Linked DNA regions of Mus musculus. The protein of the gene in region 1 interacts with the protein of each later gene in a pairwise test. Links are inferred from orthologs where the notes say so. Each region holds a gene or a part of one and is shown on either strand. Other genes may lie near its edges.

Region 1 (10,571 bases):
GTCCATCCCTATCATTTCTGGAAACTGTAACAAATGTCTAGGTAGAATTTTATGCAAGGAATTGATATCACCCTATTTTCTGTAATAGGTTAGGGAACAACCAAGAAAAAAGAATCTTCTTAGGAAGTTGTACTCATGATCTAGGGAAGAGAATATGGCTTTGTCTTTTATAGTAGTGTCAGAGATGGCAACATGTATTTTAGAAAAAGATACCAAAGCTTCAATTTTTAAGACTATGTGGCACTTTGGGCTGTTCAGGGCAAAGGAAATGGAAGTGTCAAAGGTGATGCCTGCTATTCTGCTTAAGTGATCTTCATAAACTGTATACCATTTATCACAATAAGAAAAGCAAAGCAAAGCTGTGGTATTAGGGGAATCTAAGTGACATTACTGGACAACAAAATCCAGTAGAGATAATCCTGTTAGGGTTCTCCTTGTTTCTTAACCTATGGTACCTAGTAGGTGCATTATTGCCCTGATATAAAGTAAGTCCATTGTGTATGAGTGAGTGAGTGAGTGAGTGTGTGTGTGTGTGTGTGTGTGTGTGTGTGTGTGTGTGTGTGTTGTGATGTGGTGTTTACAGTTTAGGAAGTAATGGGTTTTCGTGTAACTTTTCTAGAAGGTCTTTGATGCTAGTTATTCCTCCCCATACCTTCTGTTCTGCCTTCCTACCCAGGACCAGATATCACCCTCCTAAAACTCAGTAATCATTGAAGAAGGGGAACAGAGAAGCTGTGAGTGACAAGGAAACAGCCCTTTTCCTGGCACAACAAGACAGTTGCACCTATGAACTTGCAGCTATTGCAGCAACAGGAACAAGACCTGCAAACGCTCAAGCCATGAAGTGGGGAAATGGGCAGAGTCCCAGCCCTGCCTGAGGAGATATTGGAAACTCTCAGTTGCTGACAGAAGTAATGCAGTTTTCTTAAATGGTGTGGTGTCTGGTAGCTGTAAACTCTCCAATGCACAGCAACACACCCAATATATAGGCAGCGTAAATTAGACTTCAAGGGTTATAAAAAAATTGGAACAAAAAATTTGAGTGGGAATGCTATGGGGATTGGATCTAGGAGGATTGGTTATAGTCAAAAGACAGTGTGTGGAATTCTTGAAGAACTAATGATTAGAAATCATGAGAACTAATTTTTTAAATCCCCCACAAAAAATAAAGTGATAAAGAAGGATGAGGAGGATAAGGATGAGGATGAGGGGGAGGGGGAGGAGGAGGAGGGGAGGAGGAGAAGGAGAAGAGAAGAAGAAGAAGAAGAAGAAGAAGAAGAAGAAGAAGAAGAAGAAGAAGAAGAAGAAGAAGAAGAAGAAGAAGAAGAAGAAGAGCTATAAACAGTTGAGATAACTCAGGAGGTAAAAGGTGTTTGTCATCAGACCTAATGACCTTAATTCAATCCTTGGAACATACATAGAGAAGGAGAAAAATTATTTCTGCTAGTTGGCCTCTGACATCTTCACATGTGCTACAACATGTACATACATCCCACACACAGAAACACATAGTACATACATATACACATACACATACACATATACATATACAAACATGCTTTATAAATACCACCCTCCATTGGATGGCCCTAAACCCATGAGTCTATAGGCAGCCCAAACTCTCTCTTGTCTCTCTCTGTGTCCCTGTATCTCTGTCTCTCTATGTTTCTATGTCTATCTCTATCCCTGTGTGTGTGTGTGTGTGTGTGTGTGTGTGTGTGTGTGAGAGAGAGAGAGAGAGAGAGAGAGAGAGAGAGAGAGAGAGAGAGAGAGCATAAATTTAGAAGGAACATGGAAGGATTTAGATAGAGGAGTGACAGAGTGAATAAGAAGAAAATACATTATGTGCATATAAGAAAGTCTCAAGGAGCTAATAAAATGTATATCTATAAATAAAAATAAATATATTAAAAAGAAGAAAAGGTGTAGGATTTTCATTTTTTTGCTGTTATGTTGTAGGTGTTGTTGATGATGATGTGTTTTGACTTAGTAATATAGCCCAAAAGGGAGAAGACGTATGAAATTCCTCAGCACGTATAGAAAGCCTAAGTCCCACTTTGTTTCAGTTTTCATGTAAGTGACTCATGGTGACGTGTCTATCACCCTTCCCTTCACTGTCACACTTGGGAACACAAAATTCAGATAAGTTAGTTACATTAAATATCCCATGCCAGCAGGGTTTTTGAACCCATACTATTCTTCATATTCTGAAACTTGATGGCATAGTATTGATCCTATCATTGTTATTAGAAAAGTTAGTAAAGTAAGTTAAATTTTCTCTCCCCTAAACTCAATGACAACCCTGAACTTGTCCATGTGACCTACTTTACAAGTCTGATCTTTGCAGTTGTAATTGAATTAAGACAAGGCTATAGTTAGCTCTAAATGATATAGGAACAGTGTCCTTACATAAAGACTGAAACATGGACAGGAGAACAGACACAGAGAGGAGAACACATGGACATGAAGGTAGAAACAGAATAACGTGATTGGGGTAAGGTATGTCTAAGACTATAAGAATCACCTTCTCCTAAGAGCATCAGAGGATTGCCATGCTAACACTGAGATATTAGACAGAAAATACCCAGATCTGCATCAATAAATTTCTACTTCTTTAAGCTACCAAGTTGGGGGTGTATGGCTATGTCAGTGCTAAGAAATAAAACAATTTGGAGTATTTCAGTAAAAGTAAATTGAATTTGACTTGCATAGCAAATACATATAACATGGGTTCCAAACACATACATGTCCTTCTCAAAGAGATTTCCCCATGCCCAGTTTCTTTGTATTATTATTAATGTCTACATCTATCCATTTATGTGGGCTTTGCTTTGTGAATCACAAGTCTTTGTTGCTGATACATTAAATCACTTCCACAAAATCCCACACCTAAATACGGAGGAACCAGAGTTCAAATTTAGCTTTATCTCATCACTAAAATGACACTGTATTCCAGAACATCTGTCTCTGGTGCCTGTCCATTGCAGCATATTCTGAGGATGTAGGAAAGGCATTGGCAACCTCGGCTTTCAATGCCTACAATCAAAACTCACGTTTGTTAATTAAATGATAAGTTGCAAGGACTGAGTACAATCAATCTCTTATTCACAGAGGAACACGAAGTTTATTCTACTACAAGTATTGTCAATGAACTTGCCATTAGCTTCTACAGCTTTCATTAGAAGTTCTGCTTTGCACACGTGTATTCAAAGTCAAGGTGTTATCAGATTGGACACTTATAGCTTTACTCTACTTAAATTCATTTCCCTCCTGCAGTCTCTGTTTCATTATCACAATACTGACTCATTCTTGCCACCTAAGGAGATCATAAGAATAAATAGTGTAAGTGCAGAGGAAAGTATCTAAACTTCATATTCACAGACAGATGCCCAGCCTGAAAAGATAAAACAGGGGATGAAGGTGTGTTCTAAATTTACCTTTCCTCCCTCTCAGGGGGCTATGCTGCTAATCATAACAGATACAACTGTAAGGTGTCACATCTGTTGTTGCAGAATGTCAACTTTAAGAAGGCTTGTGTAGGAGGGACTTCTTCAGGGAGTAATGTGTCCATCTGTAAATTAAAGATGCTGCCTTTACACCAAATGCCACAAGAGGGTCTCTGATGTTTTGTGAAGTACCTATTTCCCCAGAAGTGTATCCAGTTTTCCAAGTCGTTATCAATTATTGGCCAAGACATTTTTTTCTTTACTACTCTAATATTTAAAAGATCTGTTCAGTTCTTTGAAAGGTTAGGGCTCCCTTAATTGAGATATGAATGCTGGCAAATTAACTTCTACCCTATCACAATGGAAAGCTCCAGACACACTCGGTTTCAAAACGGATGCTCACATTTGTGCCCTAAACTGGACACTTGACAGTCCTGAGACTTTCCAAGTTTATCCTCTAGGAGACTGACATTGTACAGAATTTTAACCAGAGTTTGGAAGTGATATTCTCTTCCACATTCTGTCCACCAATGTTCACAAGCAGAAGTTCTTTCCCAATCCATTGCAACCCACTAAGCGAACAGAGACAAACAACAAAGGAAAACACAGTCCCATAAAGGTTCCGCTATTGCATCTGGTGGTCCACACCTGCTAAAAGACAAAAACCATATGGGAACCCTGCCCTGGCAATGCATCCAGCACTCCCTGGGAGCAGCAGGCACTGTCGTATCACCGGCAGGGCGTGCGCGAGTGCATACACAAAGAACTGCTGCTGGGCTTGCTAGCCTTTCGGGGTACCAGCAGACTCCTAGAGCTGGCATCCAGGGTGATCTCCTACGCCCTCCATCCTAGCATAAGAGCGCTATCCTTTATTTGACCGGTGAAGAGCCCAAGCTGGATGATATCGCAAAGATTGGGGGTTGGGGAGTGGGCGGACCCTGGATCCCTTGCCCATTCTCAGAGGTCCCCAGCCTTTGGCATCTCCTAGGAGATGCACAATCAATTGTGCTGTCATAGAGGTCTCCTTTCGCATCCTCTCTAGGCAAAGCCAGATGCCCGGTGTAGCAACCGTGCGCATCTTGGCAAGCGCCCCTTCTGGAGCCGCTACCCATAAGCCGACCTGCCCGGTGCTCCTGCCTACCTGGTGGCTGGCTGTCAGCAGAGAAGTCGCGGTACCTCATCTGCTTCTCCGCTGCTGCTACATCTGTTATATCGCTCCAAGCGCCATGTTCCTGCTCTCCACGGGCGCACGCCAGGGAACTACTACGGCTGGGAAGGGGCAAGGGGGGCGGGGGCTAGAGGAGGGGGTGGGGGCAGAGTCAAAGCTTTTTACTCTCCTCCCAAACCTCTCCCAGCTACTGAGCATGCCCAAGCCGCCTGGCTTCGCCCCTAGGAGGACTGTCCGCTGAGACCACTCAGCTGCTCCGGGTTTTAGGAGCAGCCCGCTGTAGGAAAGCTGTAGCAATTGAGGGGGGTGAAAGGGGGAGTGTGGAGGGAGTGTCTGCACGCCCGAGCTGGAGAAAACAGCCAATCGGATCACACTTTCCTTCTACCATCCCCCTGCGGGCTACTCCCGCATACCCCTCCCTGAACATCCCAGTTTGTCCAAATTTTCTATAGGACCTTTGCAAAGCCGCACTACATCAGTATGCTAGCTAGTCTCTTTAGCATCACCTGGTCCTGTGCTTCGCAAACTTTAATGAGCCTTTGATTTAAAATACAGATTTGGATTCAACTGCCTGGTCCTGAAAGTCCCCGTGCCATTCGGCTGGTCCTCTGAAAGGTCAGGAGGTGCAAGAATCCAGAAACATCTTCTATAACCTCTAATTGGTCATGGAGTCTTTAATCAGCAATGGACTTATCAGCCTAAGGAGTTACCTTCAGCTTTTGATGATAGCAGCGGTTCAAGGGAGGATGTCCCCTGGGATGTCATGCCTTTCCTGGAAAGAGGCTTTGTAGGGCACACACTGAAGACAGCATAAAACCATTAGTTTGATCTAGAATTAGGAGTTTCGGAGACGATGGGCTCTTGGATCAATTCACAATCGCTTTGATACTTGAGACTAGGAAACTCGTGCTCAGTCAGTTGACCTGTTGTTGACCTGTTGTCCAATTCAAGCCTGAACCAGTCTATCCTGACTGTCTACCTGTCTTCTCTGAGCCTGGGACAAAACCTGAGAGGTTCGATGTAATGTCAAGGCTGGGCTTGACAGTTGAGACTGACTGGTCTTTTGAGAGCAAAAGACCACAGGAGGTATCGGTAATATTGAGATTAGTCACTGCCCACATGAAACCAATCAATTCACAAAACCAACCAAGAGACTTTAATCTTGGTTTTGAGAGAGCCACATCCTTCTTCATCCTCAGAGATCTCTAGATTGTCCTTATGAGAATATAGTGTCTGATCCTATAACTGAATAAGTCGGTTATAAAACAGGGCCAGTTTGCTAGTGAATAGTAGATGCTTATCATCTCCTGTCCCCGTGGCTTATCTGTTCACACACTACTTTCACTGAAGTAACTTATATATCAAAACAGAATCATGGCAGGAGCTGGTGCTAAAGATATTGCCACAGCTGTTAAGAACTCATGTTGCCCATCCAGAGGTCCCAGGTTCAGTTGTATAGGGTGGGTCCGAGCTGTACGTGACTCTGACTCCAGTGGATCTCACACACTCCTCTGGTATCAGTGGTGCCTTTTTCCACCTGGTACACAAAGAAGCATCCAGACACATATATACACATAAAAATAAATCTTTAAAAAATAGATCACAGAACAGATAGATGGTCACTGTTCTCCACTGATGTTTCTAAGTGTGAAGGACATATGTATCTTGGCCTATCAAATCCTATTTTTCCCATTCATATGACTAAAGTCAATAAATTTATCAATGCTTGAAACTGCTCAAATAGCCCTACCTCACCTCTCACCAACTGGATTGCTGTCCCATGGCCATTGGCATAATATTTTCTATTCTTTACTTTCCCCTATGTGGACTTGGACAGATGCAAATGACAGGAAATATTTTATTAAGATGAAGTTTACTTGTAGTTTTAGTATCAATAAAAAGTGCACACACTGCCAAAGTGAACTATATAATCTGAATAATATAATTTTATATTATAATTATGCCATCATGAATAGCCATGAAACAACTGATAGAAAAAAATCATAAATGAAAATCTGCTCCAAAGGAAACTACCAGGCTTAGATGGTTTCACTAGAGAAACGCTCTAAGTAGTGTAAAATACAAAACAACAAAAACAAAACAAAAACTATTTTCACACAATTATTTCCCAGAAAGCAAGAGAACACATGGCTCAACTAATTTATGAGGCTATAATTTCCCTGACACCAAAACCAAATAAACTTAGTAGAAGAGAAGTCCTCTAAACAATATATCTTATAAACCTACAAACAACCATTCCTGAGAGCTGCAGGAAGGGCTGAGTATCCTAGTACAGGTCCATGGTCCCAGCTACTCAGGAGGCTGAGACAGGAGAATCATGAATTCAAAACTTGTCTGAACTAAAGAGTGACTTAAAGGATCATTCCCACCCAAATGAAGAAGGTACTAAAAGCTTTTAGCTAACACTTATAACACCACACATTTTATCCCAAACACCAAGAAAAAAATATTACCTTGAATCTTACAGTGCATAGAGAAAATTATATATTATCTCTACATAGATGTATGTCAGGAACTCAGGGCTGTCTTAATATGTAAATAGGCATCAATATAATCCATCATACAAACTCAAAAATCCTATCAAATTATACAGGAAAGCATTTGAAAAAATGATACCCATTATTGAATAAAGACTTGAAACTCATCAGGAACTGAGGGAGGGAATTGCCTCATTTATAAAAGGCATCTACAAAAAACAAAAACAAAAAACAACAACAAAAACAAACAAAAAAGCAAACAAACAACAACAACAAAAAACCTCTAGTGAACTTGCCATTTAAAAAAGAAAGTAAAAATAGTTTCCTCCTAAGATTCAGGAAAACTAAGAAGAGACTCATCCATCATCTCTTTCAACATATTACTAGAAATTATAGCAACTGAAATTAGGCAAGAAAAATAAAAGACCCCGAGTTATGAAGGAATTAGTAAAATACTTTTTACATGCATTCCACTGATTGTGCTCTTGAAAAGCTAACAAGGAAGCTCCAAGACAGCTCTTAAAACAAAAAGGTAAATTCTGTAACATTCCCCCAAATTAGCTGTATCTCTAGATATAAACCATGAACATTTAGAAAATTACATGAGAAACACAATAACAAAAACAACAGAATGCTAAGACGATTTAATAAAATCATTCAGGGCTCATATTCTTAATATTCTTAAATTACAACATACTAATGAAATCAAAGACCCAATATATAGATATTGTACATTCATATATTAGAAAGCTCAACCTAGTCAAAAAAAATGTACTCTTTATACTAAATGAAGTGACATTTTCAGTGACATTTCTATATTAACATTGAAAATTTTTGGTGACCTGGACAACTTTATCTCAAGTGTATTTTGAAAGATAAAGGTTCTAGACTAAACAGTACTGAGATTGTAGTTGTCTTAACTAGAAAATCATGTGAGACATTTAGATACCAAAATAGAAAACCCAGAAATAGACTCACACAAGCATGAACTATTACTATTAACAGCTGAGAGAAGCCATTCCGAGAACAGCATTCCTGCCATATGCTGCTGCACCAAGAAGATGTGCATGGACAATGAAGAGCTTGAACCTCCTATAACTAGGAGCATGCGCAGCTGAAATAGTGAACATCTTCCTCTAAGATCGGGACAAAAGGATGAAAACAAAGACATCAATTTTACTACTTCAAAATTCTGTGTGGACAGCCAGGAGGATTAGAGTCCAGAATTGGAAAAAAGAAAAAAGTAAACAACTTTTTTTTTCATAGAGTAGGATCTTATATATAGAAAATCTTAAGGTGTGCATGCACATGCACACATGCACATGCATATACACAGAGACATATAGACACCTTAAAATTAATACAATTGCTAAAAGGTTCAGGATATATAATTAACCCATAGAAGTCAGTTGTATTTTATATACTGACTGTGAACAACTTAAAAGGAAAAATTTTTAAGACAATCAGCTTAATAGTAGTTTCAAGAAGAATAAGACACTTAGAAATTAAGACTAGACCCATTAAGAAATATAAAGATAATCCATGTTCATGAAGCAGCAGACAATGCAAAGACTACTCCAAGCAATCTACAAGTCATCCTAAGAAAATCTGAACAATGTTTTCACAGCAATAGAAAAAAAAATATCCTAAATTTTGTAGAAGTCTGTGGAGATCCTAAATAGCAAACACAATCTAGAAAAATAAGAACAAGGTTAGAAAACTTAATAAAACTCTAGTAACCAAAACAATTAAAGAGAACATATAAACCAATATCTAGACCAGTGGAATGGAATGCAGAAATAAACTCTTGTACATGTGTCCAGTAACGGTTAACAAGGGTATCAAGACCACGGAAGAGGAAAAGAGCAATCTTGTTGACAGATCCTGCTGAGAAAGCTGAACACCCACATGCAAAATAATGAAATAGAACTCTAGAGCAAGTATGTAGAAGACACAAATGAGTAAAAGCTAGAAAACATACTGAAGAAAACATGATGAAATCACGACTTTGGATTTAGCAACTGTTTCTTGAATGTGACACCAAAAGAATAGGCAAGACATGAAAATTGGTTAAACTTGAGAACATGGAAATGGAAATCTTCTATCCAAAGAGCACAATCATTGTTGAAAAATCTTCTTACCAAGCTGAAGAAACTGCATGCAGATCATAGATGCAAGAAGAGATTCATATTCAGACTAAGACCCCTTAAAGTAAGCAACATAAAACTTATTCAAAGGGGGGCAGAAAATGAGATTCTTCCAAAAATGATACGTAGATATTAATAAGCATTTAAAGTGGCATTCAAAGTCGCTGACCAAAATATGAAATAATTTAAACTAAAATCCATTAGCCAAAACAGAACAAAATGTAAGAATAATTGGTGGGAGTGTGAAGACGCTGGAAGGCCTGTGCAACAGTAGTGAAAATACTAAGTTGTATCATTTTTATGAAAATTAATGGTATGTTTCCTTACAGTTTAAACAGAATTGGTCTAGGATTGATCAATTCTGTTTTGGGTTATATATTCATGACCTTAAAGAGATGTAAAGATGTGCATTTTAATGCTCATAGCACCAGGCCAAAAAGTGGAAACGACCTGAATGTCCACAGAAAGATGCATGAATACAAAAATTGTGATATGAACGGACATGGTCCCATTCCTCAGTCCTGAACACGCAAAAGATCCGATACATGTGACAGCAGTGAGTAGCCATGGAAGCATTCTACAAAACAAAGTAAGAAAAATAGAATATCGTAAATACTGCATGATTCCGTTCATATGAGATACCTAAATACCTAGTCAGATTGATGGAGACAGAAAGTAGATTGAAGATTAACAGAGGCTGTGGGAAAGAAGAATTGAGGATCTATGGTTTAGTAGTATAGAGATTCAGAATGTGGTAGTTATAAAATGCTGAAGATGAAGAAGGTGATGCTTATAAAAATTCGTGCATGAGTACACCCAGCTGTGTGGTACAGGAAGTTCTGAGTATGAATCCCCAGTACTGTAACTAATGACTTAACTAAATAAATTTCTGAATAGGAAATAAAAAACAAAAACAAACGAGCTCTCAGACACTCCTAGGGTTTAAGTTTCTAAGTGATACAAGGAATAACTGCAACGAGACAGGGAAAAGTCAAAGACAGAGTGATGTCTAAAACATCAAGACTACCTAGGAAAACTGTACAGAGAAAGAACAACTAACAAACATAAACCAGCAGAATAGTAACATGAGGGTAACTAGCACTAAAACAAATGCATAAAACTGCCCAGAGAGAAAGACCAGGGCTGTACTGGGGAAGCCAAAGGGAGTGTTGGCTTCTACAGGGTCAACTCCATATTCAGGTCCTCAGAGACACCTTATTTAAAAGATTCAACATGGAAACATTTTGGTTCCAGCATATAAAATAGACAATGATATATCAGAAAGAAGAGTTCAGAAATTAACCTTAATTTG
Region 2 (10,127 bases), on another chromosome or scaffold:
CAGCAGCTAAGAGCACACCGACTGTTCTTCCAGAGGTCCTGAGTTCAATTCCCAGCAACCACATGGTGGCTCACAACCATCTGTAATGGGATCTGATGCCCTCTTCTGATGTGTCTGAAGACAGCTACAGTGTACTCATATACAATAAATAAATTAATTAATTAAAAAAAATTCACATGTCTACAAGGAGAATTTGCTTCTTTTTTTTTTTTTTCTTTTGAAGATTTTTTTTTTTTCAAGGCAAGTGTCTTTCTACATAGCCCTGGCTGTCCTGAAACTCATTATGTAGACCAGGCTGGTCTTGAACTCACAGAGATCTGCCTGCCTCTGTCTCCTGGGTGATGGGATTAAAGAAGGTATGTGCCATCATGCCCAGCTTAGATGTGTGTGTGTGTGGGGGAGGGGGTTGAGACAGGGTTTCTCTGTGTAGCCCTGGCTGTCCTGGAACTCACTCTGTAGACCAGGCTGGCCTTGAACTCAGAAATCCGCCTGCCTCTGCCTCCCAAGTGCTGGGATTAAAGGCATGTGCCACCACTGCCCGGCTCCCAAAGCATTTTTAACATAGTATTTTTCAAGACTACTATAAGAAACTAGTATGGACTGAGTGGCTTAAACAGTAAACATTTGCTGGGCAGTGGTGGCGCACGCCTTTAATCCCAGCACTTGGGAGGCAGAGGCAGGCAGATTTCTGAATTTGAGGTTAGCCTGGTCTACAGAGTGAGTTCCAGGCCAGCCAGGGCTACACAGAGAAACCCCTGTCTCGAAAAAAAAAAAAAAAAAAAAGCCAACCAGTAAACATTTAATTTTTGAGTTCTGGAACCTGGAAGTGACTGCTGAGCAGTGTGGGGGCTTTTCTGGGAATCCTGCTTGAGGTTTAGTAATAAAGACCCAGAGACGTTTGTATACCATAAGGCTGTTGGCCTTTGCTGGAACAGAACCTCAGCTACCATCTGAACTCAACCCCAAACCCCTGCCGTTGTGTCCCTTCATGTGGCTCTCCTGTCCCTCCATCCCCTTTCCCCTCACCCCCACCCCAAGCTGCCAGTTCTTTGTTCTCCAAAAAGCCACATTACAGAAAGAGAAGCAATATGATGTGGGGGAAGGGGTGTGTCTGTGGGCCCATGCTGAGGCATCCCTTCCCCCTGAGGGGTCGTATATACTATGCTATTTATGTCGTATAGTATAGAATAGAGTTTATTCAGGGCATGGGGGGAGGAGAAGAAGGAAGAGGAGGAGGAGGGAGGGAGGGAGGGAGGGGGAGAGAGAAGGGGGGGGGGAGGCCAGCCATGAGTACATGGAGAGAGGGGGAAGGGAAGGGGGGGAGGGAGGGAACAAGAGCAAGAGGGCAAGAGCCAGATTTTCTTTTATTTTTTTTGTTCTAACTACCTGAGTGTCTTACCTGATATACACATGTGCACTGCATGTGTACAGTGTCTACAGAGACCGGAAGAGGGAGGAGGACCCTCGGGAACTAAAGTTACAGAAAGTATTTCTGGGAATCAAACCAGGCTCCTCTACAAGGACAGCCAGTGTTCTTAACTGCTGAGTCACTTCTCCAGCCTCTCTTTCCAGTTTTTACTGGATTGAAATAAAATCTAGCTGGATGCTGGTGGTGCTCACCTTTACTGCCAGCACTCAGGGAAGCACAAGTAGGTGGCTCTCTGTGAGTTCGAGACCAGCCTTGTCTACAAAGTGAGCTCTGGACAGCCAGGGCTGCTACACAGAGAAACACTGTCTTGAAAAAAAAAAACAAAAAACAAAACAAAAAAAACAAAACAACAAAAAAGAAAAAAACAGGGATAAACAAGCAAAAAATAAGAATTTTATCTAGTCACACGTGTGTAAATCATATAGCATCTTTCTAGTTACATGTGTATAAATCCTACAGCATCTAGCCAAAAGATTCTGCTTTCAGAGCTGTCCTTCTGCCTGCGCCCCTTCCTTCCTGTGATGTTTTTCTAACTGCAGACCAGATCATAGCTGAGGGTCCCTTCGCTGGTTTCATAGTCCTTAAAAACAAAACAAAACAAACACCTAACTAAAACCAAGGAACCACACCCAGGGGGTAAAGGCTCCAAGTATTTAGACAGCAGTTTCAACAGCTGTGCAGAGCTAGCTCCCATGCTGCTCTGTAATTCACAGATTATCCCAGTTTTACAGAGAATCCAGGCCTATTTGGATCTGGCCCACATGCTTTCTACCGGACCATACAGCTGTGAGGCCAGCTTTGGTGTACTCTTCAGTCTTTGTCACCATCGTGACCGGCAGCGCTGTCTATGGGAAGGGGAAGCAGAGGTTTCTTCCTCCTGGGTGATTTTAATGGCAGTGCCATCCATCCAGCTGTTCACACTGGAAACTTGGAGGCCATGCTTTACCTACCTGCATCAGTCAGGCTAGAGTTTAGCTCTAGATTCTGGAGTCTAGAACGATGCTTCTGATTACCCTCTGGGTTCAGAACCAGGCTTTCAGACACACACCCTTGCCTGGGATAAAGGCTAGAACCTCCTTTGATTGCAGAGTTCTTCTCCTAAAACAACTGTATCTCGCAGAAAACAGCCTGGGTCATTCCTTTTAAAAAGCTCCATGCTCTCTCTATGGTACCAAAAATAAAGCCCAGAGACTCCCCTAAGTCTTCTTATGGTTTTGATGACTTCTCTCCATTCACAGACCCCTGACCCATCCGTCACACACATCTGTGTTTTCCTTTCGTTTGGTCTGCCTAGCCCTGTCCCTCAATATACTTTACATTGGCAGACCCTTTCACCTAAAATGCCCTTCCTCACTGGACTCAAATGGATTGATCTGATATCAGCCATATCTTTTTAAGAGTTCTCTATCCCTTAACTGAACTCATTGTCCTCGTTCTCCTGTTATTTTTTGTCTGAGGATAGATTCAACCTGTCTTCAGTTCGACTGTACCTCTGGTTATGGAGTGGCCTCAGGGGAAAGGCTTTAAACAATCGAGCCAAAGAGCAGTTTTCCTCTTCCATTCCTGCATGCCATTGTGAGGGTGTAGTGAGGATGCAGACCATAGCCCCGCGATCCCCACTAGAGGGCGGTCCAGCCTATCTCGGCTCAGATCAGGCCGGAGGGAAGGTGGAGGGGATTTTGCCTTGGCCATTCCCTTACTCTCTCTGTCTTAAGGCTCTTCACTGACTATTCGCCGGCCGGAAGGAATTTCGGTCCTATCATTTCCAGGGATGGTCAAGGCCAGCCTGGACAGACCCCGAGTGGGCCACAACCTTGTCAAATCAGAAGATAAGGCGCGCCGGGCGGTGGTGGCGCACGCCTTTAATCCCAGCACTTGGGAGGCAGAGGCAGGCGGATTTCTGAGTTCGAGGCCAGCCTGGTCTACAGAGTAAGTTCCAGGCCAGCCAGGGCTACACAGAGAAACCCTGTCTCGAAAACAAAAAACAAACAAACAAACAAAAAAGAAGAAGAAAGTGCCCACACGTGGGTGTGGCATCGGGCCCCAGTACAAGAAACCGCTATTTCACCAGGGGACAAATTGCACGGGACGAACGTGCGGGGGCGGGAGGGGGTCGTGTCGGGACTGCGTTACAGCCGGGTTAACTAAACTTTTTGAGACATAAAGGGGTCCTGAGCTGCACTCTGGTCTCCCGTGCTACTACAGCCGGGCTCCACCAGCAGAGTGGGGGCTGGAGGGCGGGGCTGAAAGGGGCAGGACAACTTCATCCTGCCCCGCCTCCATTGGCTAGGGCGCCGGGGAGGGGCGGGGCGCGGCTGCCAGATGTTGGGGCGGCAGCGGCGGGAGCTACCGAGAGCAAGGAGCCTTAGAGTAAGGCAAGGGTGAGGACGCCACCACCCGCGGGCCGACCCGGCCCACTCTGCGCCGCTCCCGCGGGTGATCGGCGGGTGAGCCGGCCGACCTGGAGAGTGTACAGCACCAGCACCAGCATGCACAGCGCTCGGCTTGACAGCTTCCTGAGCCAGCTCCGCTGGGAACTGGTGAGTCTTTGGAGTGGGTGTGGTTGTGAAGATGTGTGTGGGGTGCGTGGCTGCCGCCTGGATGGAACAACAAACGGCAACCGGGTGGACTCCGGGTACCCATCTGAGTCAGGATGGGGGCAGGGTAGCGCGCTACAGATGGCCCAGATGGCCCGCTTCGGGTTTCTGACGGTTGGGAATTGTTCTGGGCATCAGGTAACAGGCGCCCAGCTGGCCGTGCTAGCGGCAGGGGTTGGCGGGGAAGGAGAGTTGGGGAAGAGAAGTTTCTTTTGGGGACCGACAGGGAGCACCCAGGGCCTAAAGAAGTGCTGTGCTGCTGTGGACATCCCCTACCACGGGCTGGCCTGTACCTCCTTCCTCTACTCTGCCTGCCCGCCCTGGTGGCGCGTGCTGACTTGCCCGGCCCTGCGTGCTGCAGCCTGCCGGACTGCCACCAGCTCTGCGGATGGGAGCCACATGAGCCTCGAGTGCCAGTGCCCCCATGTGGGCCCTATGCTTACAGTTCCGCCTTGCTGCCCAGAGGTTTTTCAAGTCCTTCTGAAACCTCCGTTCTCAGGGCTGGCTTGGTTAGACACTAAGGAGTCAGGGGCTAAGAGATTCCTGACCAACATTTGCCCTATCTTTCTCTCCAGTTGTGTGCTCGGGACACAGGCTCACCTCCAATGTCTGGCCCACTGCAACCAAAACCCAGAACTGATCAAAATGTACAGCCAAAGCGCCAGTTCAGGGCCTCGGATGTTTTGGAAGAGGACTCTGTCTGCTGTGTAGAAGAGGAAGAGGAGGAAGGCTTGGTAGCAGAAGACAAGGGTTTACCCTTGGGATGTCCTAGGGAGCATGCTCTAGACTGGGACTCTGGCTTCTCCGAGGTGTCAGGCAGTACATGGCGAGAGGAAGAGCCGTCTGTACCCCAGCGCCAAGCACCTCGAGAACGTCCACCTCATAGCCAGCGTTTCTCAGTCAGTGACATTCCTATGCGCAGTAGGGCAGCTGTAACCAACATACCTCCTGCCCACCGTCCGAGGCCCAAGTCCACCCCAGATGCTTGCCTGGAACATTGGCAGGGATTGGAAGCAGAGGACTGGACGGCAGCCCTGCTGAACAGGGGCCGCAGTCGGCAGCCCCTGGTGCTAGGGGATAACTGTTTTGCTGATTTAGTTCACAATTGGATGGAGTTGCCTGAAGCAACCAGTGAGGGGAGTGATGGAGATGTACCCCGAGCACGGGCTCGACCCCCTCAGTTCCTGCTTGGTCTCTCTGAGCAGCTACGGCGTAGGCTGGCCAGGGCTCGACGGACAGCTATGGCAAGCAAGAGGTTGTCCTGCCCACCTCGCTCAGAACCTGACCTGCCTGCAGACATCTCACGATTTGCAGCCCTCATGAACTGTCGAAGTCGCCAACCTATTATCTACAATGATGTCAGCTACCTCTGACCCTGCCCCTCCAGCTAGGGACAATAAAGGCTTTTTTTCCTAAACTGCTGGTCCCATACTCCTGAGGCTTCAGGAAGTATCTCTGGCCCTGTGGAGCACAGCTAAGACAGGCCAGTCTAGAATGTTCCCTCTCCTTTTCCAGGGTTCCTGTCTTACCCGTATCACCTGTGTGTACCTTACCATTCATTTTCTACCATCCACTTCACTTGTGCCTTCCGTCAACAAGTTTTTATTGTTGAAGTATCTGCTGTGAGCTGAAGATGTAGGAATTTTATGCAGAGTTTGTTATGGCCAAGTGGTGGCGTGGTGTGGCTACCTCGTCACAGCTCATAATGCAGAGGTGGGAAGGCCATTTCTTCCTCCTCGCCCTCACAGCTCAGCTCAAACACCAGAACCTTCAGCCCAGGCTTGGGCTTCCAGCCGGTCACGTGCTGAACCAGTTCTGTCACCCTGGTATGGGAGGGGGTTTAGGGGAGACTCTGTAGGTGGGTCAAGGCAGACAGAGGGCAACCTAGTGTGGACAAGAGGGTGCTGGTGAGCCCTCAAGAGCCCCAACCAGGAGCAGGAGCGGCCCAAGGCAGGAAACATCTGAAACTATTTTAGGAGCAGCTGGTGGGGCAGGCAAGAGGCAGGAAGCTGTTTGTCCCTCGAGAGCAGGCTGTGAAGGGAGATGGGGGCTGGGCAGGGTATGGGAAGCCAAGGGGGCTGGCCAAGCAGACAGCTACTGAAGTCCCCTTCCTCTGGCCCTTAGCTCCACCCCCTCCCAGGCCCATTTGTTGGCTCCATTTGGTGGAAGAATGCTTCAAGAAGGTGTGAGGGGCCTAAAATGGGGTGGAGAAAAAGACCTTGTCACCCATGCTCAACCTCCAGGGACATGGTAGAGCCTGGCTACGACCGGCTCACCTGAGGCACAGGTGTTGAGCCTGCTTTTCAGATGACCATCCTGAAGAATAGAGCAGAGCCTGGTGGTGGAGAAGCATCTCCACCTTCAGTCCATGTTCTTCCTAGAAGGTATACATCAGATGCCCATTGGGCCAGGCTGGGCTGGGCCAGGGGCTGAGTGGAGACAGGGCATACCTGGAGATGGGCCAGCAGTGACTTCAGTGTCCTTTCAGGCTGCACAGCGGGCACCTTCAGGCGGTCCCAACAGGTCCATTTCAGGTCACGGAACTACAGGATGGAGAGGAGAGGGATCTAGAGATTTCTCACACAAACCTGCAACCCCTGGCCCAGTTAACCAGCAGCTTTTCCTAGAGGAGGAGCCGCTCTAGAGGCAGGAAGCTGCGGCCAAGGGGTGGGGGGGCGGAAGGTGGGATCTGGGCCCAGAGTCTCAGCCCCCTCCCCGCCCAGGCTGGGGCCAGCACAGGAAATGGAGCTATGGGGCCCTGTATGGGGAAACAGACGTCCATCGCACAGGCCAGCTGGAGAGGGGGAGACTGGGGCTGCTTCCTGAGGAAGCTGGAGCTGCGTCGCTGGAGTCTCCGATAAAGCAGCTTGTTCCTCTAAGGGGAGGCTGGGAGCCTGGAGATACAGCTCATGCTACTCAGCCCTTACAAACAGGGCTTCAGACTGCTCGCCGGCATGCAGAAACCAAGGGCATGGTAACAGTGGAACCCTATTGACTCAGAGGGTCCCTGCTAACACGGATACAGTCTACAGAAACTTTTATCCTTGTCCCATCTTCTTCCCAGGTCAAAAGTTTTGGTACCTATAGCTGAGGGCTGATGATGTAGCAGGCATCAGCCCTCCCAACCATCAGAAAACATACTGGGGTCGAGCTGAGACTAGGCTAAAGGCAGGATGGGGACACTTACCCACCCCCATTCTATGGACAAAGGCAGCCTCTGTGCTGGTTAACAGTGGGGCACCTCACAAAAGGGTTCTGTGTGCTTGTCCAGAAGGACCCTAGGCTAGCTGGTGACCTCTGTCCTCTCTTCTAGTGAGGGCATTTATTCTGTCCTCTTTCCTGTGCCTCGGGGAAATGCCAACTGGGGCAGAGCCTGGGCACACAGTTGGAGGCATTGCCATCCTGTCTTCATGGGAACAACCCACCCCCAACATACACACACACACACACAACCAACAGCACCCACGTATGTGCCCACACGCACATAGTCACATTGAGGAAGATCCTGTTCCTCCATCTGGCACACAGATGTGCAAGCCTGATTCATGTCCACATACCAGGGATGCCCAGACCTTGGTGCACTCCTATGTAGTGGTATAAACATTCTGTCCCATAGGGCTGAGGCCCACGCTCCTGGTAGCAAGCCTGATGCCCTTTAACTTGGCTTAAGGTGAACAGAACAGGGCTCCTCAAAAGGAAGCTAGATTCTTTCTGTGGCTGAGTCTACAGTTGCCCCTCCCTCCTCCTTCCCACCAGGATATTACGGAGAAGGAGAAGGAGGGGGCCATGGGGGATGTCTGGCTCCACTAATGAGTTAAAGCTGCAGCTCCCCCAGACCCTGGACTGCAGGGAGGCTGGGGGGTATGGCTGATGGCTGTTTCCTGTGTCTGACAGGTCCCAGTCTAGCTTCATAGCAGGAAGGGCGCTGGATGCAGTCTAGAGGACTCCCCCATAGTCTGGGGCCTGGAGAGAGCCCACAGCTAGAGAGAGAACTGTTTGCTTGGGCAAGTAGAGGGAAAATTCAGGCCCAGTAGGAACAGGGGGCATCAGAGGCTCACCGACTGGACGGCTGGGGCAGAAGGCGCTGAGCGGATGAAGTGGTTTTCAGCCAGGTGCAGATAGCTGTGACGAAAGGTACCATGGGATCGGAGCCCGCTTACCACCTTATACAGCTCCAGGCCCAGTAAGCCTGCCACAACTGCTGTACTGGTGGCAATGGCTGGGATAATCCGGCCCACGATTTGCTTGATCTGTCAAGGACAGGGCATTTGGTCTGGGCTCAAGGTTCAGGGATAAGGTTTGGCTCTCACTTCTAGGCCTGAGCCCCAAAGGGGTGAAGTTACCCGAGCATGATTAACTGGTAGGATCCCGTAGTTCTGACATCGCAGGTCTGTCGCTGCTACCACAAAGTCCACATGGAAGTTGCTGTCATCATCCTGCCAGGCCCAGATCACAGGAGTGTCACACTGCAGTGGTATCCCTCAGCATGGCCACCTGCAGGCCACTGACAGGTGTCTGGACAGTTTTGTGGTTGGGTAGCCACCATCTCCCGCCTTTGCCACACAGTGTGGCCGAGATGCGAGGGGTGTGAGCTGCTTCCACAGCCTTGACGGTTCTCAAACTCCCCTGCTTCCTTACCTCCCCACCAGCCCAGTTCTTCACCCCATCTTGGGACCCCACCTTCACAAACAGCACAGGCTTCAGCGGGGGCCCCTTCCTCCAGTCGTCCAGGGTTTCCTGCAGTTCCTTCAACTGTTCCTGGCCTGTCAGGGAGCAGGGCACGGGCTCAGTCCTTAACTCATTTCCTGCACTCCAGAGCCTCGTGTCCGTTCTTGGGCTCTGCCAAACCTGCCATCCACCGCCACTTGGTCTAACTAAGGACTCTTTTGGTTGATGCTGACATCTACATCCTTGCAGCCTCACTCTTCCCCTGTGGTTCCACGTGGCTCTGTCCTTACCCTGGGCCACAGCTAGGCACTCCTTAGAATTTTTTTTTTTTTTTTCAAATTCTGAAAGTCTCTCAAGAGAACAGGGATATGTTTTAGGCAGCAGAGAGAGGACCTACTGAGGGACTAGAGGATGGAAATAAACTAATCAGCAAAGTAAGAGGCCCAGAGAAGGGCTGGAGAGATGGCTTAGCAGTTAAGAGCACTTGTTCCTCTTGTAAAGGACTCTAATTCGATTCCCAGCGCTTACATGGTAACTCCAGTTTCAGGGGATCGATAAACTCTTTTGGCTTTTGTGGGCACCAGTGGCACATAGGTATATAGGTATACATGTAGGTAAAATACTCATACATACAAAATAAAAATTAAATGAGCACACAAACAAAACCAAAGAGGACCAGAGAAAAGGAAGTTGGCTGTCTGGCTTTTAGGCCCCATCTTCCTTCTAAGCACAGGCTGAAGACCCATGTGGGGAAGGGGCAAGAAGAGCTGTCCAAGACTGGGACCTCACCATGCTCAGCAGAGAAGAGGTTCTGGGGCCTGGAATCAGACTCTAGCAGCCGCGTCAGCAGTTCCCTGAGTGCAGGCTGACTTTGTGAGCCAGGCAGCCCATGCATCCGTGCATACAGGTTGGCAGCTGCCAGTACGTAGAGGAAATGCATGTCCTACAGCCAGGCAGAGAGCAGGACCGTGGGTACACGGGATGGGATGCATTGCCCTTCTGTGGATCTGTCTGAATGCCTGCCTCTCTCAAGGACAGACACTTGAATTTGCACAAGCATGGCTCTCTCTTAGCATGCAGAATGCAGAGGTGGCGTATGCCCTCAGGATACTCAGGTCTGCTGACACTACTCACGTGGTTGGGGTCAAACTGCAAGGGATGTGGACACTTGTTGGATCCTGATGAGAACTGAGTTCCACCCTCAAGCACCTATGGAAATAAAGGCCGTTGGGCTGTCTGGTCGCCTGGAGCCATCAGCTGCCCAGCCTCTGACTACCTACTTTATCATGGAAGCACAGTTGCCAGTGGCCAAGAGCCCACACCACACAGTCTTGCCAGGTCTGTGGGCGAGTTCTCAGGACACCCATCACTTGCTGCAGTAAGGCCAGTGTCTCTGTCCTATCCGTGGCCGACAGGGAAGTGCATGTCCTGCA

The links. The genes of interacting proteins can lie anywhere in the genome.
Region 2: the proteins of Pak7 (region 1) and Inka1 interact in binary tests that used the Homo sapiens proteins (3 or more experiments, as listed by UniProt). The two-hybrid records come from large-scale screens. The link is inferred for Mus musculus from reciprocal best matches to the Homo sapiens genes PAK5 and INKA1.

Annotation. Positions count from the first base shown.
Region 1 is NC_000068.7:136,383,067-136,393,637, forward strand, and holds the start of Pak7 (serine/threonine-protein kinase PAK 5), read right to left. Parts: upstream 4,902-10,571; 5' UTR 4,628-4,901; coding exon of another isoform or gene 4,588-4,627; intron 1-4,587.
Region 2 is NC_000075.6:107,979,539-107,989,665, reverse strand, and holds Inka1 (PAK4-inhibitor INKA1), read left to right. Parts: upstream 1-3,749; 5' UTR 3,750-3,918; coding exon 3,919-3,969; intron 3,970-4,601; coding exon 4,602-5,399; 3' UTR 5,400-5,443; downstream 5,444-10,127. Other genes in the region: Uba7 (ubiquitin-like modifier-activating enzyme 7), read right to left, coding at 5,720-5,849, 6,303-6,403, 6,477-6,569, 8,085-8,276, 8,370-8,462, 8,707-8,789, 9,484-9,637, 9,829-9,903 and 1 more. UniProt on the Homo sapiens protein: Inhibitor of the serine/threonine-protein kinase PAK4. Acts by binding PAK4 in a substrate-like manner, inhibiting the protein kinase activity.